Linked DNA regions of Canis lupus familiaris. The protein of the gene in region 4 purifies or fractionates together with the protein of the main gene of each other region. This does not show direct contact. Links are inferred from orthologs where the notes say so. Each region holds a gene or a part of one and is shown on either strand. Other genes may lie near its edges.

Region 1 (7,107 bases), on a different chromosome or scaffold from region 4:
GCCCCATGTTTCAGCAAAAAATTGATAAATCAGGATCCAGTCTTTAACTTGGAAATGTTATATATTTGATAGTAAGTAAACTTATGCCTGATTCAGCTTTTCCTCAAAGGTTCTCAGCATCCTATTTTATTTTATTTTATTTTATTTTATCTTATCTTATCTTATCTTATCTTATCTTATTTTATTAAGATTTATTTATTTATTTATGATAGTCACAGAGAGAAAGAGAGAGGCAGAGACACAGGCAGAGGGAGAAGCAGGCTCCATGCACCGGGAGCCCGATGTGGGATTCGATCCCGGGTCTCCAGGATCGCGCCCTGGGCCAAAGGCAGGCGCCAAACCGCTGCGCCACCCAGGGATCCCTCAGCATCCTATTTTAGTTTTTGATAGAGTTAGGATGGTTGTGCTACTATGAATAGCAAGTTACAGGGTATTTATTCAGTTACAGTTTTGGCACAGAAAAATTCTGATCACCTTAAGAGGTTCAACTTTTACAGAATAATTCTTTATTCTTGTATTTGACAAATTTATTTTTTGCCCTGTATTTGGTCTGTATTCCTATTGAGGTCATCCATCGTAGTGTTTGAGGGCAAGTTCACTGTTTGGGAAGGTGGAGCGAGCATGGTGGTGGCTGCCATCCTTGAGATAACCTTGTACTCTTCCTAACAACACTTGATTACCTTTCAGGTTACAGCATCAGAAAAAACAAAGGAAATGACTTGTCCTGCGCAAAAGGCAAAATTGGTGTATGAGGAAGGTGAGGCTTGAAGGGAGTGTGGAATTTAGAATTGGAACATTCATTATTTAATGTTGAGTTCTGTTACCTTTATTTTGTAGAATATGAATGTGAGTAAGATCATGCTATGGCATGCTTTTTCTAAGAAAATGGGCAAACCTGTGGCAAAAATATGATCCAGTAAAAGAGAAGGTGCAAATGTACAGTAAATAAGAAGGCACACTAGGTGTGGAAGATATTTAAATAGGAAGACACTATGAATAAACTTCTATGCCAGCACATTGCACATTAAAATCCTAGATGAGAATAAGTAATTTCTTAGGAAACAGTAATGACCAAAAGTGACTTAAAAAGAAATAGAAACCAAAAAAAAAAGAAAAAAGAAATAGAAACGTAGAATAAGCCAGTGGCCTTAAATTGATTTAATCAAAACCTTTGCTCAGAGATGTCAGGCACAGAGTTTTATTTAAAATTTTTTATTTAAATTCAGTTTGTCAACATATAGTGTAACACCCATTGCTCGTCCCATCAAGTCCCCTCCTTAGCAGGCACAGAGTTTTTATAGGTATATTTTGTCAATCTTTCAACGAACAATTCATTTTTGTCCTGTATAAACAACTCATGCATTTTATGAGTCAAACCAAATAAGAATGATAGTTAAGGAAATAAGATTTTAGGTCATCTTCAAATATCCTGAATAGTAAGTTGATTATTATAGAAATGCTTGTGTAAAAGAATATGTCATTACCAAGGAGAATTTATTTAAAGATTCTAAGGCAAATTAGCAGGAAATCTATTAAATATAGTTACCACATTAACAAATTAACAGGGAACAATATACGTTAGTAGATACAGAAAAAGAATTCAATAAAATTCAGCCTTTCATCATCTTATTATTGATAATCCAAGCAACTTAGGAATTTAAAGGAATTTCCTTAGTCTTATCAGAGTTTAAAAGTATTCCCACAAAGTCAGGAACTAGACAATAATGCACCTTTTATTACTTTTGCATATCCTGCCTAGTATTGTATGAAAGAAGTGAATCCTAGAACATTGGACTTGGCAGTTATCCTTCTCAACTTAGAAAATGAAGCAGAATCTAGTTACACCATCATTAATGAGATGAAAATAAACAAGTTTACTGGAATCCCAAGATCACAAAAAGGAGTCAGTAGTATGATTGTCTCAGTAATGTATTACAGAAAATATATTAGGAAAAAAGATTTCATTCACAGCAGCAATCAAAACTAGAAGTACCTAGAAATATAAGTGAAACAAAACCTTTATAGAGAACATGATAAAACATAACTGAAGGACATAAAAGCATACCTAAATTAGACTTTATTATTAATTACTTAGACTTTTTCCAGTTTTATTGAGATATAATTATATATAATATTGTACTGTTTTAGGTATACAACATAATTATTTGATCTCTGTATATATATTGTGAAATGATTACCATAATATGTTTAATCAACATTCATCACCACTCATTGTTGCGGTTATTTTCTTATGCTGAGAACTTTTTTTACTCTCTTAACAGCTTCCAGTACACAGTATGGTATTGTTAAGTGTGGTTACCATGCTGTACATTATATCCCCAGGACTGACCTGTAATTGGAAGTTTGTACCTTTTTTTAAAAAAAGATTTTATTTATTCATGAGAGAGCCAGAGTGAGAGGCAGAGACATAGGCAGAGGGAGAAGCAGGCTCCCCATGGGAACCCGATATGGGACTCCAGAACCCTGAGATCATGACCTTGAGCCGAAGATAGGTGCTCAACCACTGAGCCACCCAGGTACCCCAGAACTTGGTACCTTCTGCTTTTCACTCCTTTACTACACTCTCCATACCTCTGGTGACTACCAGTCTGTTCTTTGTGTCTTACAAGCTTGGTGTTGTTAGACTGCACACATGAGTATGATCATACAGTATTGTTCTCCAGAGTTATTGCACCTAGTACAGTCCCCTCACCATCTGTGTTGTCACAAATAGGAGGATTTCCTTTTTTTTAATAGCTGAATGGAATTTAATGGCTGAATGTATATCACATTTTCTTTAACCATCCATCCAGCCCATCAATGAACTCCTAGGTTGTTTCCATGTCTTGGTTGTTGTAAATAATGCTGCAGTGAACATGGGGGCGGTGCAGGGATCTCTTTGAGATCCTGATTTTGTTTCCTTTGACATATGTCCGGCAATGGTATTGACAGATCATCTGATAGCTTTATTTTTAATTTCTTGGGGAACTCCATACTGTTTTCAGTAATGCCTGCACCAATTACATTTCTACCAAGAGCACATGAGGGTTCCCTTTTCTCCACATCCTTGGCTTAGTTTTTTAAGATGATTTTGTTAGGGTTTTGGTACTTTGTCCTACCCAGTGAGATCTTGGTGGAATAATTAATGGACTTTTATGCAGATAAGATTATTAATGTTACTGCTTAAATGGATGATCACTGAATGTAATATTTCTAAAAGTAAATTCAAGAATCTGACTCTGTTTATTTAGTTTTTAGGGCTCTGCCCTCTGCAGAGTAGATCACATACTTAAGGCTGAGTTTTTCCCCTTGCAGAATCTTCTGAAGAGGAGTCAGATGATGAAATTGCAGAGAAGGACTCTGATGTGAGTACCTTGTTTTTTGGTCCATAAATCTGCCTTTATACCCTTCTAGTCTGTATGAACAAGGGCTTCATGAATGTTTTCTATGCTTCATCTCTTTCTAACAGGATAACTGGGATGAAGATGAGGAGGAGAATGAAAGTGAAAAAGATGAGGATGTTGATGAAGAGAACGAAGAAGAAGAGGAAGATGCTGAGGAAAAAGATGAGGAGAATGGGGAGGACAGGGATGTGGCCAGTGAGAAAGAATTAAATGGAGATTCTGACTTAGATCCTGAAAATGAAAGTGAAGAAGAATGAGGATGGAGAACAAGCTGATGGACCTCTGTCACTTCTGGCACGCGCCTTCCCCCATGCTGCCGACTTCTCCTGGGAAGGGTTGTCTCTGGGACAGGCGCCAGGGACTGTTGCACATATCCAGATTCCTCGTGCTGGTCCCTATGCCGTCTCGCTGTCCTGAGCACCCCAGACTTCACTGTGTAAATAAGAGTGTTTCCTTCAAATGTTAATAAACTTTACACAGCAAATAGACACATTTTCTGCAATGTACTGACATGAGTGTCCAATATTTGGTATATTTTTATAATATAATATCCCAGTATGGTTGGTTCTAGCAAGAATTGACATAAGTGAAGACACACATTTCCCATGTAGGGTTTCAAGAACTGGACTTTTGTGAAGGAGTCAGCTCTTATCTCAGGTTGGTATCTTTCATCAGATCCAGATATGAAGCAGCACTAGTGAAAATTTTTAATTTAGTACATTTTCATAAAATATGAAAGGGTAACTAAAGATTTGGAGTAAAAAAAGGTTGGGATTTAAGAGTTAAATATCAGTATCCCTAGCTTATCTATTAATGGAGGTGATCTGATTTGAGTCAGGTTGAATATTTGGAGTGCTTCCCCCAAACAGCCACTTATTTTTTAACCTGTCATGTGGAATATTTTTTTAAAACACACAAAAAATTATGGTAATTAAAAAACTAAAGAATTAGCCATATTAAGGATTTTTCTTGACTGCAAGTTGCCTGTAAAGAATCATCAGTGTATAGATTTAGAAGTACTCATTACCTGCAACTTTTTAAAGAATTCAGTTATAGCTGCTTTTGAAGAGGTTTTCATTTTTATTTAAATTACTAATGGATCAAAGAACAATTGTTTATTTTTTCTCTTTGGTTTTAGATATTAATGATAACCTTGTTGGAATTTTTTTCCAAAGAAAATATTTTTATAATTCAGTAATTTAATGTTTTCCTTTTCATTATCCACTCTTGGCAGTGTTAGGATATCTGTTTACCTTTAAAATAATAAATCTGACTCAAGATTTTTTATGTATGTATAAATAAGTATTTTGGTGTGCTACAAAAGCCTCATATTATCAGTTTTTTTTTAAATGAGCCAGTATTTGTTTAGTGCTCACTAGGGAACATGCAGATGGAAGCTCAACTCTAAGGGAGGGCAGGGGAGATGGGTTTATTTTTACCACCTGTGAATATGTAAAACACAAAAACCATTATCTCTGAGGGACTTTTTAACATCAGTGGCAGAACAGAGATTTCTGTGCTCTACTCATAGAGCTGGAGCCACACAAGCATCTTGGGAAAGTAAGTTTGAGCCAGCTACTGGTGTAATGTACAGTTATATTTGTCTATAAATGGAACTGTTTATGACAATTTAATACCATTCTCTTTGTAAAGTGAATAAATATTCATCTTTACCCAGTGCTTGTCTTGTGATATATGTAGAGGAACACAGCCCATATGGTTGGGCTTGTGTGAATATATCAAGAAAAGCAATTTTATTCCACTAGCATTAAAAAGTAAATGTGCTCAGGATTTGTTGGAAACCCTAGACTTGGTAGTGTAGTGAATGAACCAAGAACTTTGAATTTCGATGCAGCTCCACTGGCTGGGTGGTGTTTCCACAGCCCGAGGCTGCAGTGGCAGTCTCCAGGACCTACATGCTCATGTACTGCATCCTGCCTTGTGGTCTGGGAGTCTGATTTCACTATACCTTACTCTCCCTGAAGGAGTAGAAGGCTGTAGGGTGTAGTGATTGCTTCCTAATTACTTTTTGGGTTAGACATCGAGGGCTTAATTAGGCTTGTTCCAAAGACATTTCTGGTTCAGGGTGTTTTTCACAATGTTGTTCAACAACTAGTCCAGGCAACAACAGTGTGTGGCTGAGGTCATCTTTTCTGAGATTAGTTTTTCACCCCCAACCTTTTATTTTGAAAAGTTCACTTTCCGTTCATCATCAAGGATTACACATTGTATTTGGTTGTGTTACTGCTATATTAATCGGAATTCTCCCTTTGTGTTTCATGATTTTGATATTTAAATGATTCCACATGTATTATGCTGTATTGTAGAATGTTTTACAATCTGGATTTGTCTGTTTTCTTATGATTAGATTCTGGCTTAAATTTTCTTCTTTTGGGGCAAGAATACTAAATAGTGGTATTTGAGATTAATTTGTAAAAAGTTCTTTCAGTACAGATGACTATATTGGTTATAAGTGTTTTGACATATGTAGAGGTCAAGTTTTTAGGTTTCTGAATGGAAGTTGTAGTGCAGAGGGGTGCTTGAGGGTCAGAAACTGGATCTTGGTAGTGAGAACACTTTTCTGTGGAAGTTGTCTCTTAGCATGGTACATTCATTCATTTAACAAATATTGATTGATTGCCAACTCTGTGCCAGGGGATATGTAGTTCCTTGTTATATATATCACTGAATTCTGTCCTGAGGAGCTGATGTTCTAAAAGATACAGGCAAAAACGATGTATAAAGAATAAGTAAATTCTGTGTAGTATGTTAGAGGGTGGTAACTTACAGGGGTTGGAAAGTGGAGTAAGGAAATGGGGAGCCTGCATGGGGGAGTGTAGGTTGTAGAATTAAATACATGATCAGGTTAGGGTTTATTGAGAAGGTGAGATTTGATCATAGACTAAGAGGGGTGAAGAACTTAGCAAGTGGGTATCTGGAAGAGTGTTCTAGGCAAGGAAAGCGCCGAAGCAAAGGTCCTGTGGCCAGCACATGCCAGTGATTGTTGTAGTGAGATGTCAATGAGACAAACAGGAAGAAGGGGAGAATGGAGATTTGGTATTGACAGGTATGTGACAATAAAGCCACGAGACTGCATGAGCTTCCCATGGAGTGAATGTACGGACACCCAGGTCTCATGCTCCAGCATCAGAATAAGAAGAGAAACCCCAAGGGACACATCCAAGAAACACTGAGAGGTAGGAGGGTTTGACATTTATTTACTCTTCATTCTCTTCAAATCTGAATTCATGAAAACCTTCAGCTATGATTTTTTCAGCTCTAAGTGATGTTACCCATGAGTCCTCTCAGGCCGCAGTGGTTATGGTGCCTACCCTTCATATGCCTATTTGTTGATCCCTTCTTTTAGAGGCAACTCAGGCATACAGTTTATTAATCTAATGTCATCAGTCTTCACCGTTATGGCACCTCAGTACTGTCCACTGTAATGCCGACCCACTGTGTTTCCAAATTGTATACTGGATCAGAAAATGCAGAATGAGAGGCCATAGCAGTGTAGACAGCATCATTAGGAAACAGTCTGGCCGAGGAACAGAATAGATGGAGTTCATTCTTCTGTACAGTGCTGGCTGACAGGATGTGAGAAAATCAGATTGTTCTTGGCAGTACTGTGATGGGTTTTCATATATATATATGTGGATAATTTTTATTAGGAAGGTAGATCTGAGAAGAACAGGGCAATTGT
Region 2 (7,819 bases), on a different chromosome or scaffold from region 4:
CTCTCCACGGTTCACCAGGGACACCACCCCGCTATAGAAGGTACAGACCCGGGATCCCTGGGTGGCGCAGCGGTTTGGCGCCTGCCTTTGGCCCAGGGCGCGATCCTGGAGACCCGGGATCGATTCCCACGTCGGGCTCCCGGTGCATGGAGCTTGCTTCTCCCTCTGCCTGTGTCTCTGCCTCTCTGTCTCTCTCTCTCTCTCTCTGTGACTATCATAAAATCAACAAAAATTAAAAAAAAAAAAAAAAAAAGAAGGTACAGACCCAGAATTCCTAGGCTAGACCTCTCTGTGTTCCCAAAGCGCCCTGTACATGACTTGATCCTAGTACTTTTTATGTTGTGTTGAAATTACTTGTTTACATAAATATCTACCTTCCTTATCTGCCCATAAGCTCTGATAGGGCAAAGGCCTTAATTTATCTTTGATTCCCAATGTCCAATCTAGTTTGTTGAACAGAATCCATCGGGTCCTCAAAGATTTGGTAAACTGAATGGATAAAATGAGCCAACAAAAAAATTATTACAGAATAAGAATAAATCTTCTGATGCTGACTAGGGTCACTATTATCCTATTTTATCAGTTCCAAGACACTTGCTTTTTCACCTCTCTGAAATCAAGATGCATTCCGTAAGTGCTGTAGCCAGGAGACAGTCATAAAATGGTTGTTTAACTAATAGGTTAAGGAAGTTCAAGCAACAAAACATCTGAGGTATATGATCACCGCTCTAGCCGGAGCCTCTTCATTCCCATGAGTACCTTAATTCAGAGTTTTAACATCTCCAGGCTAGACCACTCTTAAGGGCTTCCTACAGTTTCCAGGTGTGGCCCTTCAATTCACCTTTCCCACTCAAACCAGATTAATTTTGCAAATTTGACCACATTACTTCCTTAAAGGTAAAATTAAATTACAATTTGTCAGTGTTTTCCTACTTGTCTCTAGGATGTGATCTAAACTCCTAAGGCCTTTGGTGATTTGACCTGGTGTACTTGGAACCACTTTTTCACTTGAAAAGCGTGCTCTAGTAAAGTGGTTCACAACTCCAATATCCTTGCACTCCCCACAGACACACTCCATTAATACTAACAGGTCCCCTGAGATGGTGGTGGGGGAGAGGGTACCATGTGCCAAGAAAACTCCAAACTGATAGGCTTCCCCAGAGGAAAGGAATGTCCTCTCTCTCTTTGCTCCCTGGCAGAGAATGGCTTTAAATTTGAATGCAAGCTCCCAAAGGAAAATGCTCTCTCCAGGCTTTGGTATATTTTGTGGTCTACCCAGAACACTTTATAATTAATTCCTTAAGACAAATTCAGCTCAGGTGAAGCCTCACATTTTCTCACTCCACATCAGCACCACTCTGAATGCTTCTACAAGATGGCAGGCTTAGCTCTATCACAGCACTTACCACATGACATCCTTGGAAGACTTCCCCTACCAGACTGTGAGCTCTTTCAGGGGAGGAAGGGTGCCTGTACTTATTATAAATCCAGTAACAAAAGTATCGTATGGTAGGGAACGACGCATTTTTTAACTAGTCAAACACAAATAGGTTCAAACGCCAGCTTTACCACAAATGGGCTGAATAATATTGGGAGAATTAACTTCTCTAAAATGTCACTGTTCTCCACTCTAAGATTTCTCACAGGGTGACTATGAGGATAAAATGAAACAACACATGCAAATGCACCCTTAATACACACAGTATACACTCAGTAAATATTTCCATACAATTGGGATAATAATACCTAACCTTGTAGACAGAAATGCATGTAAGCACCTACCACAATGCTTGTCACATAGGACTCAACTCATCTTTGTTGATGAAGTGGAGAAGCAAGAAGTTAGGGATGCTTTAAAGCAGGAATCAGGACTTAAATGAGGCTCTGAAGGATGCATAATTTAAGAGCTGGGAAGGAAAAATAGCAACATAAGCAAAAGCTGGGATACAACTAACAAGAAATTGGAAATGTACCTTTCTAACAAGCAAAGTGTGTACAGTGGGTTATGTCAGGAAACACACTGGATGAGCAGACTCAAGCTAGATCACGGAAGGCCTTGTAAGCCAAACAAAAGAGCAGTATTTAAGGACGGCAACAAAAGATTATTACAGGGTTCTGAGCAAGACTAAGGGTGAGAATAATAATATTATGACAGTAACACAAGGAAAATTATTACAGCAGCAGTACACAGAATGGCCTGCAAAAGAAAAATATCTAGAGAAGGACATTAGCTTTGTGAGAATTCAGGAATGCAAATGGCAAAAATGACTTCTTTTAAAATCTTTTATGCCCTAGCAACCTAATGCAGAGCATCCTGTAAATGTGGGAAGTAACAGGATGTAATACAGACAGTGCTGGACCTGGAGTCCGTGATACCAGACACAGGAATGTCACCTACTGTCATGGACACCCAGCGCTCGGCTTGCCTCTCAGAACACCCCCTGCACACGTCTTTGTGTCCTAATTCCAAGAGCACCCAGTGACCAGGAGAATGTCTTGCATATGCCACAATTCTATGGTTTTATTTACTGTTTCAGATTTCTTGATAAGCTCCCTGAAGCAAAATACAAAATTACCTTATTCTTTCTGTATTAACTAACCAACGCTTGTTGATAATCCTCAACTCCTTGATAAGTTCACTAAAACCCTATTAATTTGCTAGAGAACTGATTTTAATTGCTACATTCTACATAGATAACAAAAACCGAACAACAACAAAAACATAGCTAAATCTTCACCAAATTCCCCAAACTTCAGTACTGAATTTCTACCTAATCCTTGCTTGTCCAACTGGTCATTTCCCTAACCCTTAAACTCAACAGCCCCCCAGATGAACTCATCATCTTCTCAATAATCCTAATTGCTACATCACTCCAAAATGGTCTTTTCATCTTCAATATTTTTTTAAAAGATTTTATTCATGAGACAGAGAGGCAGAGACACAGGCAGAGGGAGAAGCAGGCTCCCTGCAGGGAGCTCGATGCGGGACTCGATCCCAGGACACTGGGGTCACACTCTGAACTGAAGGCAGATGCTCAACCGCTGAGCCACCCAGGTGTCAGGCATCCCTTTCATCTTTAATATTATCTTAGCTCAGGCCAAAGTAATGTCTTGCTTGGATGCCTGCATTAGCCTTTTAAGCCCTGGTGTATACTGTTCCAGACTCTTCTCCCCTAGACTTATGCTGTACTGACCGTACACACGTGATACTCCTTATCCCTCACATCACCCCAGCAATTTAAAGCTGCACACTTTGCCTGGATATCCTCCCCCAATATCACTGGTGGGGCAAACTCCTGTTACTCTTCCAAGATCCTATAGTGAAGGGAAACCTCAACATCACTCTCCCTTCCACGCCAACACTGTACCTCTAGTATGCTAAGCCAACCCACCTCTGATCTTGCTGCTCTCCACCACTTATTACACAGTTTTATAAATGGGTTTCGGATTAATTTTTCTTGAAGAAACACAATCATGTACCTCCCATCGTTCTCCACCTATTGAATAAAAATATACACTCTTTGGACCAAACGATCAAGAGCCGGCTTCATGTTCCTCTTCCGTCACGAGCTCTCTTCATCCACCATTCGTACTAGCTAACTGGACCATAGTCTGTCCAGTATCCTCAGGCTTCTACTCCTTTTGCCCGTGCCCGCTATCTGCAACGCCCCCTGTCCATATCCCCTAGTCAGGATACCACTCACCTGCTAAGGCCTAGCCTAAATATCACTTCCTTGGGAACCGCCCACCCTCAGTCTGAAGTGCTCTCTCCTACTTAGGAACTTCCAAAGTACCACACTATGAAACACGTTTCAAATTATTTTCTTTTCATCATCAAGACTGTAAGGTCTTGAAGGTAGGATCTATATTAAAGTTATCTTAATTTCTGTCGTATCAACTTGTCATAAATAATACATAGTTGACAAATACTTGAAAACAAATTGTAAGACTTAGCAAAGAAAATACTGCGTGTCGTTACAGTAAAATGGAGAGACAGTACACGGGGGAAAAAGAGAGTGGATACCTAGATCTAGGCCCAGAGTGGCGGCACTTTGGCACCCTTTAAGTCTCCATTTCTTCCTGATGTAGAAGATAAATATCAACAAAACCCTCTTTCATGGAAGGATCAAGGATTTACTCTTAGGGCAGTTTATGAACGCTCCTGAAAGCTCCTTCAGTCTCGCCTGCGTTCAACAAGTATCATACGGCCACAAGCAAGATTTTGTGAGGGATATGAACTTTCCTAAGCTATTATCTTGACTCTTCCAAGACAGAAGGTGTTTTTACTAAGGGTCACCGGCCTTAAATTTGAAACCTCTTCCTACAAGGTATCACTTCTACATGATGCTGACAAGGGAGCAACAAGGAAGATGACAACTGACGAACACTAAGCCATTAACTGCCAGGCTGTTTACTTGCTTTCTACGCCTGACAGCATTTAAGCAATCTCAACAACCCTAGGAGATGGATTACAAAATATTCCTGTTTTACGGGAAAAGCAACTGAAGAGAAGATTAAGAACTTGCAAAGATCACACGACGGAAGAACCAGGTTTTAAACCTAGCGAGCATCTTAGTTTCCAATCACACCGAACTCCTGAGAAAAGGGACCAGGGTTTACATATGTTGTTATCCCGCACAGAAACGAACACCCCGATTCATCACGCAAAGCTGCCAAAGGTTGCCAAAATACTTTCCCCGAGGTGCCGCGGGGACCCTGCGCCCACCCCTCCCGAGGTCCTACCAGGACCCCGCGCCCTCCCCCCCGCCCCGAGGTGCTGCGGGGACCCTGGAGCATCTCCTCCCCAGGTGCCGCGGGGACCCTGCGCCCGCCCCTCCCGAGGTCCTGCCGGGACCCCGCGCCCACCCCTCCCCAGGTGCCGTGGGGCCGTGCGCACACCCGCCCCCCCGCCGCGCCGACTCGGGGGCGCGGGGTCCCCCGGGCCTGCACCCACCCGCGGGCGAGCGGCCCCGGGCAGAGGCGCGCCCAGCGTCGGGGTCACAGCGCGGAGCTTCCACTCCGCCGCAGCCTCAGGCCCCGGCGCCCGCGCGCCCCCCGAGCCCGGGACCGCGGGTCCGCGAGCCCGACGCGCCTGACCTCTGCCCCCTCCCGCCTCCACCCGGCGGCCGAGGCCGCGGCCCCGTACTTGGAATCCGCGGAGAACTCGGCTCTCCGGAGGTTGAGCTCGCTGCCGCCACAGCGGACCACGCGGACGGTCCCCTCCTCCGCCATCTTCGCGCAGGCGCAGAAGCCGCGGGGGCGGCCCGCCGGGAACTTCCGCCGGGGGCGGGGCCGGGCTGGGGGCGGAGTCGGGGCGGCTCCTCGAGGCCGCAGCGTCCGTGGCGCGAGCTCCGCTGGGCGGCCGTCTCCGTGTGGGCGGCGTGAGAGACGTGCGGGCTAAGCGGTGACTTAGAGACCCGAGTTCACGCCAGGCGCTCCCGAGCTCTAACCACCGCGGCTGAGCCTCTCTCCGGCCCACAGTCTGCTGGTCGCCTCCCTCCGCCACAAGGGAGACCCCCCTCCCCGCGTGTCCCGTGACCTCCCGTCGACCCTCCTTGGCGTCTCCCGTGACCTCCCGTGACCTCCCGTCGACGCCCCCCCCGCGTGTCCCGTGACCTCTCGTGACCTCCCGTCGCCCCCCCCGCGTCTCCCGTGACCTCCCGTGACCTCCCGTGGGGGCCGCCTGATAGATGAAATGTGTGCAGGATGATGTGGGACGTGACTCCAGAACTGGGACCTTGAGCACTGAGGTCACCATGTGCCGTGAAGGAAAGACTGGAAACAGACTTTGGGGGGTGCCCCTGGGTATGACCGTCCTACGAGCCATCTCAACGCTGAGGCTGAGTGGGCTTCCGCTCCTGCTGCAGCCTAGCGGATTCTCTGCCGGAGATAGAGACCCGAGAGCCATCTGCGTGCGGGTGACACGGAGGCGCCGCGGGGCAGGCTGAGGTCACCGATGGGGGGAGTGTACCTAGAACGTGGAGCGGGTCCAAGGACTGAGTCTGAGGCATCGGGAAGGTGAAGAAAAAACCCGCAAATGATTGGGCAGCTTAAGAAGGAAAACAGGAGGATATATGCCATCAAAAAAAGTCAAAGGAAGAAGGAGGTAGAATCGATCCTTCTGTCATGTGTGACTGATTAAATAACTGGAAGACAACTGACTGCTGTCCTGAGCAGAATGGAAATCACTGGGGGCTTTGATAGCAGTTTTGATGCAGTGATGGGATAGAAAATGGGATTTGAGTGGGTTCGGGAGAGGATAGAGGAGTACAATTAGAGACAGTAGGACTCCTTCAGAGTTTTGGTGAACGGAGAAAGGAAGAAACATGATAGCTGGAAGGGAGATGGAGGGCGTTCATGAAGACAGGAAACAGAGGTAAGATTATTTTATTTTTTACAGATTGGAGATGTATTGGGAAGTTTCATTATAAAAGAAAACTTTTGTTGCTGTACTGATCTTTTTTTTCTCAGATTATCAAAATGGCATCTCAAAATTTAAAGACTACAATTGAACTCTCAGATCTCAGGTTGAGAGAGTGGGCAATAGGGAATAACTTCATAAAGCTAAAAATTGCACATTTTAATGACAGCTATGCAATAAAGCTCTTAAGTAAAGCTATGCAATAAAACGAACTTAAACAAAACATTATAGTTTTAAGTACCTGGCATTGCAAAATACTTTATGCCAGCCATATTCCCAAAGGATCTTCTATTTATATCAACCACTTACTAAATTCTCTTTATTATATGTAAACAAGTAGTTAATCTTAGCTATACAGAAGAAGTACCTGGGTTACTTTAGAAAATAATGAAACCTGATCCAACCCCCAGAGATTCTGATGTATTTGGTCTGCAATTGTCACCTAGGCACCAGAGTTATTTTTTTAAATTGTGGTGACCTTTACATACATAAAGTTGTTGGTAGTGACATTTAATATATTCACAATGTACAACTATCACTCTCTGTATCTATCATGAATATTTTTGTCAGCGCAAAAGGAAAGCCTTTACCATTAAGCACTCACTACTTATCCTCTCTCAATTGCTAGTGTTTAGAAATAAAAACTGATTTTTGTGTATTGGTATTACATCCTACAACTTCGCTGAATTCGTTTATAGATCTAATAGTTCTTTATTGTGTATACCTTAGGATTTTTTAATTTATCAGATCATGTTATCTATGAATATTTACTACTTCTTTTCCAGTTTGTGTATTTTTTGTTTCCTTCTCTTGCCTAATTGGTCTGACTAGAACTACCAATACAAGGTTGAATAGCAATGGTGAAAGTGGACATTCTTGTTTTATTCCCGATCTTAGGGGGATCAGTCCTTCACTATTATGATGTTAGCTGTGGTTTTTCATGAATTCCTTTTATCTTATTGAGGAAATTCCCTTCTATAATTAGTTTGGTGAGTGTTTTAATCATGAAAGATGTTGGATTTTGTCAAATGAATTTGCTGTGTCAGTTGAGATGATTGTGTGGGGGTTTTGCTTAATTATATTAATGTGGTGTATTACAACATTGATTTTCATATTTTGAAACACTCCTGCATTTCTGGGATAAACCACTTGGTTATAGTGTATAATCCTTTTAGTATGCTTTAAAATTTGGTTTGTTACTATTTTTTGAGGATTTTAATTTCTACATTAATAAGGAATATTGACCGATAGTTTCCTTTTCTGTGGTGTTTTTGGCTCCTGGCATTAGACTAATGCTCGCCAAATAGAACAAGTTAGGAATTGTTTCCTCATCTATTTTTTTCTAGGTGATTGTGAAAGATTGGTGTTAATTTTTTTTTTAAATTTTTATTTATTTAT
Region 3 (8,030 bases), on a different chromosome or scaffold from region 4:
TTAGCAAATTTGGGGGAGTATAATCATTAAGTTCCAAACTGCAGAATTTACATGGCCAAAATATATTTTTATCATAATGTCAAAATGCCCTCCAGAAAGTTTACACCACTTTTCCTCCCTCGAGTAGCAATGATGATCAAAATTTTTCATTTGTGTCACTGTAACAGATGAAAAATAGTATCCAAATTACTGTTTCAATTTACACTTTTTTAATTATGAACGAAGCTGTAGCTCTTTGTTATATTTACTGGTCATTTAAATTTCTGATTCCAGGGGCACCTGGGTGGTTCAGTCAGTTACCCGTCGCCTTTGGTTTAGGTCGTGATCCCAGGGTCCTGGGATGGAGCCCCACATCAGGGTCCCTGCTCAGCAGGGAGTCTGCTTCTCCCTCTCCCTCTGCTGATACTCCCTGCTTCTCCTCTCTCTCTTTCTCAAATAAATAAATAAAATCTTATTTAAAAAAGTTTCTTATCCCATAAGCCTCCCATCCCAATCTTTTTCCATTTTTGTATTTAATTGTTCATTTTCTTTAAAAAATCATTTCCAAGCCTTTGTAGACAGTCTGGAAGAATTCTGCATCACTTCTTAGTTTGAGAAAAGCAAAAGAAAAAAATAATGCAAGATTCAAATTCAAAAATTTATTTCACTTGGCATCCATTAATCATCTGTTTATTCTCTGCTAGGCAGTTGTATGATTAAAATCACTAACCAATACGGACTTTTATTTTAAAAATTCCAAGAAAAACTATCAAATATCAAATTTCCCACCCAAACTAAACTGCTGATAGATTCTTTTTAGTTATTAGTTCTCTATTAGAGTATCCCAAGTGTAACAAATGCTGGAGAAATAAGCATAAACGCAAACCCTTCATTACCATCTACATTTACCTTATAGTTGTTCCAGTACAGTGTGTCCTGGGTGATTTTTTCACCAAGTACAGGATATGTCTGAATAGCTGCAGGCTTGTACCCAGACATAATTTCATTCGGTTGGACTGTTATCCAAGGATAAATAGTTGAAACTGACGTTAGAAATAAGTGACTGCTTTATGTCTGAAAAAGAAAATATTTTATATATATTATTCTCAAACCTGTATAGTTACCATTTTCACGTTGTGTCTTTTCAAAAGGCTGTGTAGTAGTGACCAATAAACCATTTAATTCTAACACAGAAGAAACAATCTAGAAGATGCAAGTAGAATACAGATAGGGCTACCAAAGTGCACCATCCATTCAGTTATACACAAAACTGCACACAAATGTTCTCACACTTAACTAACCAATTTATAACACACGGGAATACATCTCGCTTAGCCACCCAGTAGCCAAAGCAGAAGTAGTCCACTGGCCTAGACTGTTAACAACGCAAAAACATTAACGTGAAACTGCAAATACAAGTCTCCTGAAACTAAATTTAGGATGACATTTAATTTATTTGAACATGGTCTAGGGTCTTAACCTCCTGAAAGTCTTACAAATACCAAAAAGGAAAACAAAGCTAGGGACGCCTGGGTGGCTCAGTGGTTGAGTGTCTGCCTTAGGCTCAGGGCGTGACCCCCGGGGTCCCTGGATCGAGTCCCACATCGGGCTCCCTACAGGGAGCCTGCTTCTCCCTCTGCCTGTGTGTCTGCGCCTCTCTCTCTCTCTCTCGAATAAATAAAATCTTAAAAAAAATAGAAACAAAGCTAATATTCTAATATAGAAGCTTAAAATTAAATTTGAAAGCTTAAAAATAGGGATCCCTGGGTGGCGCAGCGGTTTGGCGCCTGCCTTTGGCCCAGGGCATGATCCTGGAGACCCGGGATCGAATCCCACGTCGGGCTCCCGGTGCATGGAGCCTGCTTCTCCCTGTGTGACTATCATAAATAAATAAAAATTTTAAAAAAAATTTTTTTCAAATAAAAAAATAAAAAATAAAATAAAAGCTTAAAAATAGGGCAAACCGGATGGCTCAGCGGTTTAGCGCCGCCTTCAGCCCTGGGCCTGATCCTGGAGACCCGGGATCGAGTCCCACGTCAGGCTCCCTGCACGGAGCCTGCTTCTGCCTCTGCCTGTGTCTCTGCCTCTCTCTCTCTCTCTCTCTGTCTCTCATGAATAAATTAATAAAATCTAAAAAAAAAAAAAGAAAGATGGACGTTCATTTTTTTAAAAAGCTTAAAAATAAAAGGTAATATTCTGATGCAGTTCCAATTTAAAAGCTTAAAATAAACATTTTTTAAAAATTAAAATGAAAAGAAACAAGAATAAAGCAATTCTGAAATTAAATTCTCAATTTAAATGACAGAATAGGGGACGCCTGGGTGGCTCAGCGGTTGAGCATCTGCCTTCGGCCCAGGGTGTGACCCCGGGGTCCTGGGATCGAGTCCCACATCGGGCTCTCCGCATGGAGCCTGCTTCTCCCTCTGCCTGTGTCTCTGTGTCTCTCTCTCTGTGTCTCTCAGAATAAATACATAAAATCTTTTAAAAAATAAATAAATGACAGAATAGGATAAAAATGAGTTATAACTTTTAACTGACATGGAATTAAGCCAAAATGTCTCTCCAGGACTATTCAACTGCAAAAGAAATTCATTTTATCTGTGGTGCAAATCATCATCTGTTTCAAAAGTCCTGAAAAGAGTGCACCAATAACACCAAAATAAATAGGTATGACATTTTCTAAAGGTTGTTTTGATGAAACATAGCAACCAACGATCAAAAGGAAACTGTTCTGTGCAAGTACCTACGATATACAGGACACTGTTCTAGGTTCTGGACGTACAACACTGAGTAAAACAAACAGTGCCCTCACACCCTCCGATATTTTCCATTTTAGCTGGTGAGTGGCAGAAGCTAGGAATATGAAATTTGCCTTGACTTGTCCTTCCTCTTCACTTTTAACACCCAAAGAATTAACAAGACCTGCTGATTTTACCTCCCTAAACTTCATCACGTCCACTCCGCCAGGTTCCACTGCTCCGATCTAGACCTTCCCATCTACAGAAACAGCGCAATGTGAGGTCTCCTTGACTCCCTTGCCCATCATCTAAACAGCCGTCAGCAAGACCTGACTACACAGCAAATCAAGCTTTTGCTACAAAGCACAACACTACCTGAAAACAAGGGTCCGACCTGCTCAACACACCCTATGATCTGGCCCTAACTTACCTTTTCAGCTTCACCCCCTTGCTATCCCTTTAACACACCCTCCTCTTTCTTCTCTGTCTTTGCTCATCTGTCCTCTTTGCCAGGAGTGAACTCTTCTCTACCCACTTCTTTCTTATCTTTTAAAGCTCAATTCAAGGATCAGACCCTCCACCCTTCTCTGAACTCCTAATGGCACTTCACTGTGCACATCTGTCAGTGTGCACTGTCAACGCTGCGTTTGTAATACTCTCTTCTTCCCATTAAACTTAATTTCCTATCTGGAAGACTTTCTTAAGTGCTTAAAGAAAACCTGGGGAAGGAATGAAAGGAAGCACTGTGCTGGGTTCCATGGAAGAAAACAAAATTAAAGGCACAAGTGGTGTCGATAGTACAAACACTACTCCGGCAAGAGTGAACAGGCCTCTTCTCTAAGGGGCCTGATGATAAATACCTTAGGCTTTGCAGGCCAACAGGCAAAACGGAGATTATGTAGTTATAAGAAAGCAGGCAAGAAAAAAAAATCCCCCCCATTTTTCTTTTTTTTTTTTTTAAGATTTATTTGTTTATGATAGACACAGAGAGAGAGAGAGAGAGAGAGAGAGAGAGAGGCAGAGAGACACAGGTAGAGGGAGAAGCAGGCTCCATGCAGGCAGCCTGACGTGGGACTTGATCCCAGGACTCCAGGGTCACGCCCTGGGCCCAAGACAGGTGTTAAACCGCTGAGCCACCCAGGGATCCCTCTTTTTTTTTTTTTTTTTAAATAACAAACACCCCCCTGCCAAATAATTATAGGTACAATTTTCTATTTACGAGTGAAAAGAAGAGACTTTTTTGGACGAAGGGAAAAGCACTTCACTTACTTCGGGTTCGAGGTCCGTGTTTCCTATCATCGGACACCTTGCAAATACTCACCTGTAGAAAGCCTTCCAGGCTCAGCGGCTGCCCGAGGAAAAAAAAGCCGCCGGCCTCCACCCCTCCACTCCAGCCTGCGGGCCTCCCCCTCTCACCGCATCGCAGGCAAAACCACCCCTTACAACAGCAGCCGCAGCGGAGTTCAGAGCTCCGCCTGCAGAGAAACCCCTTAGAGCTCTAACAGCGGGCAGCCCCGGGGGTGGGGTGGGGGGGCTCAGCGGTGGGCACCTGCCTGTGGCCCAGGGCGCGACCCCGGAGACCCAGGATCGAGTCCCGCGTCGGGCTCCCCGCAGGGAGCCTGCTTCTCCCTCTGCCTGTGTCTCTGCCTCTGTCTCTTATAAATAAAATCTCTTAAAAAAAAAAAAAAAAAAGGAGGGGACACCTGGATGGCTCAGCGGTTGAGCACCGTGACCCCAGGTCCCGGGATCGAGTCCCGCGTCGGGCCCCTGCGGGGAGCCTGCTCCTCCCTCTGCCTGCGTCTCCCTCTGTGTCCTGCGTGAATAAATAAATAAAATCTTTACAATGAAGCGGCTGGCGGATGAAAGGGAGGAGCGGCGCGGAGGGGGGGCGCCCCAACGTGGAGGGGGCGAGGAGGAACGCGGCCCGGGAGAGACGAGAGCCCGGGCGGCCGCCGGCGCACGCGGGGCGCGCAGGGCTCGGGGCCGAGGCTCCGCCCTCCCCGCAGCCCCGAGGCCGCCCGCGCCGCCCGCAGCCCGTGGGAGCGGCCCGACCCCGGGGACCCGCGCGGGCGCGGTGAGCGCAGACACGCGGGAGCGGAGCGCCCCGCGGGGACGCAGAGCCGCGCGGCCGGCAGCCAGGCTCGGCGGCGGCTGCGAAGCCTGCCCCCGCGGCCCTCCCCGCGCCCGCCGCTCCGGGCGCCCCGGGCTCACCTGCCAGGACCGCGCGGGCCTCCCGGGGAGCCGCCGACACTCGGCACCCACGCTCCGGCGCGTCGCACAGCAGTGACGCAACGACGTCGGCTGGCGCGCGTGACGCGGCGCGAGAGGGGCGGGGCCGGGGCCGGGGCGGGGCCGGGCGGCGTCGCCGCGGTGGCCCGGTCGGGTCTCGTCCAGGGACCGGCGCTCCGTGGTGCTCGCGCCCCGACGACCGCGCGGCGGCGGGGAGGACCCCGCAGGGCCTCCCGGGGCGGCGACGCGGGGCGTTCCTGCCGCCGGGAGCCGGGAGGAGGCGGCGGAAGTGACGTCACGCTCCCACGCAGCCGGGGCTGGGGGCCTGCGGAGCCCGGGGCCGCAGATGGAAAGGCCCGACGGGCTGTCGGCGGTCGAAGGTAGTGTGGCGGCCCCGCGCCGGTGGGGTGCGCGCCGGGCTGCGGCCCTCGGCGAGCTGGCGGCGGGCGGCGGGGGCGGTGGCGCCTCCTTCCCTTGCAGGCGACCTCGGGTGACCCCGGGCGACCCCAGGTCCCGGAGGGGCGGGGCTGCTGCTCCCAGGGCCCCCGGGTCTCCGGGTCCCTGCGCCCCCAGCCGCGCGGCCGGCTCCATCCTACCACCCCGCCCCCATACCCCCCCCCTCCGCCCCGGCCCGTCCCTGGAGTCTCGGAGGAGCTGCAGGGCCCATGTTCCGTCCCCCGCCTCCTCGCCCCGGTTTCCCCCTCCGAGACTTAGAATTCCATTCCGCCTATAAACCCAGATTTATTTTTTTCTTTAAAGACTTTATCTATTTATTCACGGGAGACCCAGGCAGAGGGAGAAGCAGGCTGCATGCAGGGAGCCCGACGCGGGACCTCGGATGCAGGACTCGAACCCGGGACCCCGGGGTCACGCCCTGGGTCGAAGGCGGGCGCTTCACTGCTGGGCCACCGGGGCTGCCTTGTTTATTTATTTTTAAGGATTTTGTTTGCTTATTCATGCGAGACACAGAGAGAGAGGCAGAGACCCAGGCAGAGGGAGGAGCAGGCTCCATTCAGGGAGCCCGATAGGGGACTCGATCCGGGGTCTCCAGGATCACACCCTGGGCCCAAGGCAGGTGCCCAATGATGAGCCCCGCAGGTGTCCAAGTTTGTATGGTTTTTTTTATAAAATATTGTATTCATTTATTCATGAGACACAAGAGACAGAGAGGCAGAGGGAGAAGCAGGCTCCGTGCAGGGGCCTGGAAGCAGGACTCCAACCGGGACCCCGGGGTCACGCCCTGGGTCGAAGGCGGGCGCTCCACCGCTGGGCCACCAGAGCTGCCCTGTTTATTTATTTTTAAGGATTTTATTATTCGTGCGAGACACAGAGAGAGAGAGAGAGAAGCAGAGACACAGGCAGAGGGAGAAGCAGGCTCCATGCAGGGAGCTCCATGCAGGGAGCTCCACTCAGGACTCGAACTCGGGACCCTGGAGTCAGGCCCTGGGCCCAAGGCAGGCGCTCCACCACTGAGCCCCCCAGGGATCCCCTAAACCCAGTTTTACGATGTTGAAGATGTTTCGAGCCACAAAGAATATTAGAGATGTCTATTTCAACCATCTAAATTGTATAAAGTAATAAAATGACTCTCGGAAATCGTATTGTGATTGTTCCGTCCAGGGTCGCACAGGTAGTGAGTGGTGATGTCGAGAAGAAGGTGAAGCTGAAGCTCATTTAGCAAAGCCTTCGCTGGGCATCTTGCAGGGTCATTTCAGGATAGAAAAGAATATGGAAACGATGTCAAAGTTCAGGTCAGGAAGCGTTTCTGGAACACCTGATAGCATCACACCCTGCCTTGTGTGCAGAGATTAGTAGTGGTCTCTATCCTACATTCCATGTCTTGGGAGTTAAGTGGAAATTTTCAAGAGAACGATAAAATACTGAAAATAGAAATAAGTGCAGTGTGCTAAGAGAGCTTAGGACCCTTGCTCTGCGCAGGGGTCTGTGGGAGATGGTTCTTCTCTCAGGAAACAGTTCATATCTTGCGATACATTTTTAAAGCCCTTTGCTCCTCCATCTCCATTTGAATCATAGCTCATTTTCTGTTCTGGTTTCCTTCTTTCCTTTTGCTGAAGTATGTTGACTTTGTTACCTGTTACTCCTGTTACTCTTTTTATCACTATTGTTACTATTTGTTATTTCTTCAGCCTTGTCCCTTGGAAGTTTGGATTAGTATAGTGCTGCTTCTTATTTTAGTGGTCAAGGTAATGTAGCCAAAGCCCGGGATGGGTCCATCATAATATACAAGCTCCCGTTTCCTCTTCTCTACATAGGAAAGAACAGTTAACTACCATCACTACTCAAAGGATTGCTATAAGGATCAATCTTGGAAAATGTTTTAAAACCGAAAATAGTGGTCATATGTAAATGTATGGTTTGCCAGCCTCTGTTCCACTGTGATCCTAATGCATTTTTTTTTTTAAGATTTTACTTATTTATTTGAGAGAGAGAGAGAGCAAAAGCAGGGGAGCATCAGAGGGAGAGGGAGAAGCAGGCTCTCTGCTGAGCAAGCAGCCCGACGTGGGACTGGATCCCAGAACCCTGGAATCATGACCTGAGCCAAAGGCAGGCACTTAACCAACTGAGCTACCCAAGCAGTCCTGCATTTTTCTTTTTAAATTCCAATTTTATAACACCCTGCACCCTCTCAAAATTCCTAAGAGGCAGTAAACCCTAAATAAAAAGATGAACCAAATGTTTTGATTTTCTTCCTGTCTCAGGGATTATATGCATTGGGTATTTATAGTCTTGGAATTCTTAATTTTTTAAAGCAGTTTTAGGTACAATAATGAAATTTTCTTGAAATTATATTAAGGTTTTTAGGGAAGTACCAATGATTATTAAAAATGCATTATAAAACAGTAGTAAATGATTCCATAACAGGTGTATGTATAGTCTATGCTTTGAGAGTTTGCATTTATTGAATTCATGTCTTGATTACCTATATTTGAAAAAAAGTAATTCTTATAATTCTTATTTCTTAATACTTTTTTACAGAAATTGAGATCTAAAATTTCTAGTTTGATCCTAATACCCTAGAGATGATAAAGCAAAGGAAGCCAATCTATAATGTTTGTATAGTAA
Region 4 (6,510 bases):
AGAAGGTAAGTACCATCTTTTTTTCCCTGAGATTGTGGTCTAAAGAGCAGGACCCTGAAAAAGTTGGATGAATGTGTAGCTGCTCAGAACATTATCCCAACTACAAATATCTTGGAGTTTCCATTCACTGGAGTCAATGAAGGGAAATTACTGTTCATTATTCTGGAAAACATTCATAATGACTCGTCCTAAAGAATAACTTTGTTTTATTATCATGATTTGTGAAAACAAACAGGGTAGACAGTTCAAGGAAGGACACAGACAGTGCCCTATTTTAGGTCCCAAATTTCTTCTTTTTGATGGGTGGTGGAAGTTGAGCGATGATGTCATCCAGGGGCCGTTCTACTGCTACCAGGGTTCTTTCATCCAAAAGATCCATGAAGAGCAAAGGCTGTGGAGAGATGATAATGACTCTACCAGGAGTTAGGCTCCAGGGCCAGTCCTAAACAGACTAACTAGAGCTAAACAGTCAGCACAGTTCAAGGCTGGAGGAATCAAAATTTCTGAGGACCCTTCCTGTCCTAGGACTCAAAATGGTTCATCAGGTTGGAATTTTTTTTGAAAACTATTTTATCTATCTAATCAATCAATCTATCTAATCTATCTATCTTAATCTTAATCTTAGGGCAACTGGATGGCTGAGTCAGTTGAGTGTCTGACTCTTTTATCTCAGGGTTGTGAGTTCAGTCTCCATGTTGTGCTTCATGCTGGGCATGGAGCCTACCTAAAAAATTTTAAAAATAATCTCTACACCTAATGTGGGGCTCAAACTCACAACCTTGAAATCAATAGTAATATATGCTCTACTGACTGAGCCAACCAGGTCCCCCAAGGTTAGGAACCTTTTATTTTAAGTTTATTTTTTTAGTAATCACTGTGCCCAATGTGGGGCATGATCCTGAGATCAAGAGTCGCATGTTCTTCTGACTGAACCAGACAGGCACCTCAAGGTTGGGAACTTCTGAGTTCACAAATAAAAGATTTCAACAAGATTTTTCATGTTTTTCTATTCAGAACATTTATTCTCTAACTTCTTAGGGATCAACGTTAACTTCTGGAGCCTGAATTCTTGGCAAACAGCAAGTCACAAATGCATTAAGAAACTAATCATACTTAAATAATTTACAGATGTCCCTCTTTAAAAAATATTCTTGCAAACCCCTGAGGAAATGTTCCAGGACACCCAAGGAACTCTAATCTGAGAAGCATGAGTGCGGAACTTCGAAATTGGCACAAAACAGCTACAGTATCATAAGCTTAATGAATATTTGTTTCATATATAGTGGAAAGGCTTAGCCCAGAATGGGAAGTCACAATAAATCCAATGACTTCCACTTGTTGAAATTTATCTGGTGGAAAATTCTCCATTTAGAAGTCACATTTAAAGCCAGCTTTAACACAAAGACACCACCTGAGCGCCACCATGATTTCTCACTAGGTATGTATTTCATTCTGGTTAAGTATTATGTGCATACCTCTCATATGTTGAGGTGTGAATAATGAAATGCAAACATAAGGGACAAACATCCTCAGAAAGGTACTTGACTTTACAAACCAGGCTCTCTGCACATAAAAGGTGCTCTTGTCTGCCTACTGTGGAGATTACATTTTGATAATATCACAAGGAACCAACCATCTAGAATATAATGCAAGATGTTTTACCTTATATATCTTAGAAATTTTAAAGGCATGGGCGGTACGCCTCCTGATAACATCTGATTCGTTCGTGGGAGGAAGTGGATTGTAGAATAAGGTTTTGTCATTTGGAAGAGGCTAAAAAGACAAAGGCATACTGTTTAAATCATTATTTTTATTAGGCTTCTCCAGAACAAAGGACTATAGTGATTTTTCAGGCAAACACTACCCTTGAACATCATATGAGACATTTACTACCTCCTTGACTCCCATTACTTCAGGAAAAGCTGTAGTCACATTTCCAGCTGTACTGCAAGAGGGTGGGAGCATGAAGCAAAGAGCATGGTACTCTCTAGTCCAGCAAGACCAAAGGGACCAGCCAGAGCTTCTGGCCAGTCTTGTAACACTTTGTGAGATGGAACAAATTGGCACGTGCAGAAGCTTAGCGCACGCAGGCTCTGCTTTCTAGACTCTTCTCCCAACCAGATCACCAGACAGGCAAAGTGATTAAAGTTCTCCCCAGGCCAAAACCGAAATACAAACCACCCCCACTGATGTCACTGACACTTTGAGAGATGGCCTCTGGCCAAACAAGTGATATTTCATCTCTGACTTCCTTGGGAAATAGCTCTGCCCAGCATGAGGAACTGATGGACTTATCACCCATGCTTGACAAAAAATATGGACCTGCCTGGGCTGAGTTACAATGAGGAAAGTGAGTGGGAGGGGCCCTTCCTGTATCACTCATTCTGCAGAAGGCACTTGTCAGCCAGCTTCGTTTCCCACGCCCAGAGGACAGAGGGTCTGGGAGATGTGTTGCAGTGACACATCATGCACACCTCCTTTAAGGCCATCTGCTACTTTCCTCTCAGTTCCTTCCCACCCCCACCTGCACAGATATACCAAAATACAGTGTGTTGGTTGTAATCTAAGCCCAGGGTACATTATAGGCAAGGCCACAGCTATTACTGCTCCTAGGAAACAAAGTAGCGGTCCAGAGAAGGCATGTAAATTGGGGTGAATCAAAACAGCAGCTAGCAGAGGCTGGAATCTGGAAATGAAAAAAATGTTCACAACCCCTCTAAAATCACAGCCATGAAGAATGAAATTTTCCTGGCTGGACTTTTTTCAAGACATTATGACCAATTCTTCAAGCTTATAGATACTATTCCAGCATTTTCAGGCAAGGGGCAAAAGTGGTCAAAACCTCAGCCTGTGTCTCCTTTAATAAAATTGTGTTATTTAGCCACCCCAGGGTGCAGAGATAGAAGTAATTCAGCCAAATCAACAGTCTTCCCCATGAGAGTTACCTTCTGAATACTCATCTAATCACTTTCGTACTTAGGTTTATATGTTTACAGGAAAAGCAGAGAATGCTTAAGTCAGCAAAAAACAGTACACAAATGCCTGCCCCTACCCTGGGAGCCTCATGGGGCCTGGGAGTGAAAATGAGGAAATCTGCAAAACAAAAGTTCCTCTCTCCAAAGAATAGGTCAGGAAATTTTATTCTGATTCTCCTTTCTCTTGGTTTTAGAACTTGAAAATTCCTAAGTACAGAAAAGTCAGTGTCAGCACAAGTGGTAGCAGTGAGGAACTTACCAATGACTTGTCAATGATGCAGAACATGTAGGCATCATGGAGAAGGATGTGCATTGGTCTCTTGGGATGAAAACTGATATGTGTGATGGGAGTGTCCCTTTGGAGCCAAAGGTAATGAAACCCCTGCTTCTGGATGGTCCGGCTCCACTCTGTATACTGTTTGTCTGGGATACTGTACTCAAATACCTAAAGAAGGATAGGATACACAAGAAATGCAGGCTGACACCCAGAAAAACTAGAAGGTATCCCTGATTCCTAACCAGAAAGTATCTATACAAACCCTAACTGCATCATATTCAGCCTTATGCCTACTGGTTTTTTTTTTTTAAGACTTTATTTATTTATTCATGAGAGACACAGAGAGAGAGAGGCAGAGACATAGGCAGAGGAAGAAGCAGGCTCCATGCAGGGAGCCCAATGTGGGACTTGATCCCGGGTCTCCAGGGTCATGCCCTAGGCTGAAGGTAGGCATTAAACCACTGAGCCACCCAGGGATCCCCTTTCTGTTTTTAAAGTAAAAAAAAAAAAAAAAAAAAAAAAGTTAATTAATTAATTAATTACAGGACACTAAACAATTAAACCAGAAAGGTTTACAGTGAAATTCACCCTGTCATCTTGACACCTCTCCTTCCCAAAACAAGAGGAGCCTATTTACATCTTTTCAGATCTTTTATGCATACAATACATGCTATTCTGCATGTTGTATTTTTTATTTAGCATTATATCATGGAGACTGAGCCATGTCAGTATCAATAACTACAGCTATATATCCATCACTCTTGCTCCTCTCACACATAATGTATTCACATTTTTTTAAAAATTTTTTTTAAAGATTTTATTTATTTATTCATAGACACACACAGAGAGAGGCAGAAACACAGGCAGAGGGAGAAGCAGGCTCCATGCAGGGAGCCGGACGTGGGACTTGATCCCAGATCTCCAGGATCACACCCCAGGCTGCAGGCAGCGCCACCGGGGCTGCCCCATGTATTCATATTTTGAAAAAAAATATTTTCTATTTATTTATTCATGAAAGACACAGAGAAAGAGAGGCAGAGACATAGGCAGAGAGACAAGCAGGGTCCACGCAGGGAACCCGATGAGGGACTCGATCCCGGGACCCCAGGATCACACCCTGGGCTGAAGGCACACGCTCAACAGCTGAGCCACCTAGGGATCCCAATGTATTCACTTTTTGGACGTATCATGATTTACTTATCTAATTTGTTTAATGGACATTTACACTATTTCCAATCTTTTACTGTTACAAAGCTGCACTGATTATCTGTCTTTTTTGTACTACTGAAGGCATAGATCTATAGGAATAACTTTTTCTTTCTTCTTAAAAATTGACTGATTGGTGGGATCCCTGGGTGGCGCAGCGGTTTGGCGCCTGCCTTTGGCCCAGGGCGCGATCCTGGAGATCCGGGATCGAATCCCACATCGGGCTCCCTGCACGGAGCCTGCTTCTCCCTCTGCCTATGTCTCTGCCTCTCTCTCTCTCACTGTGTGCCTATCATAAATAAATAAAAATTAAAAAAAAAAAAATTGACTGATTGGGATCCGGGATCGAATCCCACATCAGGCTCCCAGTGCATGGAGCCTGCTTCTCCCTCTGCCTATGTCTCTGCCTCTCTCTCTCTCTCTGTGTGACTATCATAAAAAAAAAAAAAGATTGAGAGAGAGAGAGAGAGAGAGAGTGCAAGTGCGCCCGCGCGCCCAAGCATGTGAGTGCACAAGGAAGAAAGAACCCTAAGAAGACTCCACGCTGAGTATGGAGTCTGAGGCAGGGCTCTATCTCACAACCTTGAGATCGAGACTTGAGCCAAAACCAAGAGTCAGATGTTTAACTAACTGCACCACCAGGCATCCCAGGAAGAACTCTTAAAATTGGAACTTCTGATTCAAAGATTATGTGTATTTAATTTTTAAAAATGCATCTCAAAGTGTCCTCTAAAGGGGCCATACTAATATATACAGTGTATGAAGTGGTATTTCCTGTATCCTCACAGCATTGTGCATTATCAACTGTACTGATTTTTGTTAACCTAACAAGTACAAAAAAATTTCCTACTAGATTTAAAGCACCTAAGGGACCAACTGCCAGAAAAAGGCATCAGGTGGACATTATGTGTGATAAAGACAAGCATGTGGGGGATCCCTGGGTGGCTCAGCAGTTTAGCCCCTGCCTTTGGCCCAGGGTGTGATCCTGGAGTCCGAGTCCCAGGATCGAGTCCCGCGTCGGGCTCTCTCTCTCTCATAAATAAATAAAATAAATAAATAAATAAATAAATAAATCTATCTTTAAAAAAAAAAAAGAGACAAGGATGTGGCTTCACTAATCTTTCGGTTACTGAACAAGGTCACAAACTCACGAAACTGAAATGAAAGGTTTCATTTTGTGGATTGAACACACACACACACACACACACACGTGAGTGTAAAAACTATTAAAGTAGCAAGCATCAGTTGCCCAGCAATCTACTTATATGTGCTACTCAGACCATACTTTATTTTTCCAACAGCTCAATGAGAGAGGTATTATGCCCATTTTACAGATCAGGATCATCGTCAAGTACTGATCATTTCACAATGTATTCCATTTCACAATAGCTATAACTCAGTTATTTTAAAGATTTTCTTACAATTTGGTATAGAAAAAAGCAGTAGGCTATGCACTCATTTTGGCTACTCTTTGCAATGGCCTAATTTCTGTATCTGCCAAAGTGAAGGCAAATTTCATGATTTTTTTAGTCACTCCCAACTTCAAGGTCTTATTCCATCCCATATCCAGTCTAACACCTGGGTCCATATCATCTCTAGTCTAAAATAACGAGGGGCACTGAGATGGCTCAGTTAGTTAAACGTCTGCCTTTGGCTCAGATCTCTAGGTCCTGGGATCGAGCTCTGCATTGGGCTCCCTGCTTAGCAGGGGAGTCTGCCTCTCCCTCCCCCTCCACCACTTATGTTCTCTCTTGCTAGCTCTGCTCTCTCTCAGAAAGAAGTAAAACAATCTTAAAAAAAAAAAAAAAAAAAAATTAAAATAACCAATAAAATGAGTACTTCAAAATCCTTCCTTTTACTCTATAATCTCAGAGCTTCATCATTCCATTGTGCCCATCAAGCCAAAGGATATTACTGGCCTATAAATACCCAAGCTAGATACATGGAAGCTTTACTTTGCAGAAGAGAAAACTACCTGTGTATCTTCCACTACATTCAAACAAAGGCTCCTCCAAAATTGTCATTAGCTTTTTAGTTACTATCCAACAGAAA

The links.
Region 1: the proteins of UTP4 (region 4) and WDR43 purify together in Homo sapiens (co-immunoprecipitation; 5 studies listed by BioGRID and IntAct, counting the BioPlex papers as one, with this or other methods). This does not show direct contact. The link is inferred for Canis lupus familiaris from reciprocal best matches to the Homo sapiens genes UTP4 and WDR43.
Region 2: the proteins of UTP4 (region 4) and WDR75 purify together in Homo sapiens (co-immunoprecipitation; 3 studies listed by BioGRID and IntAct, counting the BioPlex papers as one, with this or other methods). This does not show direct contact. The link is inferred for Canis lupus familiaris from reciprocal best matches to the Homo sapiens genes UTP4 and WDR75.
Region 3: the proteins of UTP4 (region 4) and UTP15 purify together in Homo sapiens (co-immunoprecipitation; 4 studies listed by BioGRID and IntAct, counting the BioPlex papers as one, with this or other methods). This does not show direct contact. The link is inferred for Canis lupus familiaris from reciprocal best matches to the Homo sapiens genes UTP4 and UTP15.

The regions. Positions count from the first base shown.
Region 1 is NC_049238.1:22,839,014-22,846,120, forward strand, and holds the end of WDR43 (WD repeat-containing protein 43), read left to right. Parts: intron 1-687; coding exon 688-757; intron 758-3,315; coding exon 3,316-3,365; intron 3,366-3,469; coding exon 3,470-3,661; 3' UTR 3,662-5,081; downstream 5,082-7,107. UniProt on the Homo sapiens protein: Ribosome biogenesis factor that coordinates hyperactive transcription and ribogenesis. Part of the small subunit (SSU) processome, first precursor of the small eukaryotic ribosomal subunit.
Region 2 is NC_049258.1:52,849-60,667, reverse strand, and holds the start of WDR75 (WD repeat-containing protein 75), read right to left. Parts: upstream 5,302-7,819; 5' UTR 5,233-5,301; coding exon 5,147-5,232; intron 1-5,146. UniProt on the Homo sapiens protein: Ribosome biogenesis factor. Part of the small subunit (SSU) processome, first precursor of the small eukaryotic ribosomal subunit.
Region 3 is NC_049223.1:55,617,028-55,625,057, reverse strand, and holds the start of UTP15 (U3 small nucleolar RNA-associated protein 15 homolog), read right to left. Parts: upstream 5,012-8,030; 5' UTR 4,929-5,011; intron 4,494-4,928; exon of another isoform or gene 4,421-4,493; intron 4,312-4,420; exon of another isoform or gene 4,271-4,311; intron 4,172-4,270; exon of another isoform or gene 3,987-4,171; intron 3,691-3,986; exon of another isoform or gene 3,578-3,690; intron 1,054-3,577; 5' UTR 979-1,053; coding exon 889-978; intron 1-888. UniProt on the Homo sapiens protein: Ribosome biogenesis factor. Involved in nucleolar processing of pre-18S ribosomal RNA. Required for optimal pre-ribosomal RNA transcription by RNA polymerase I.
Region 4 is NC_049226.1:81,057,111-81,063,620, forward strand, and holds the end of UTP4 (U3 small nucleolar RNA-associated protein 4 homolog), read right to left. Parts: intron 3,421-6,510; coding exon 3,235-3,420; intron 1,774-3,234; coding exon 1,663-1,773; intron 392-1,662; coding exon 275-391; 3' UTR 190-274; downstream 1-189. UniProt on the Homo sapiens protein: Ribosome biogenesis factor. Involved in nucleolar processing of pre-18S ribosomal RNA. Part of the small subunit (SSU) processome, first precursor of the small eukaryotic ribosomal subunit.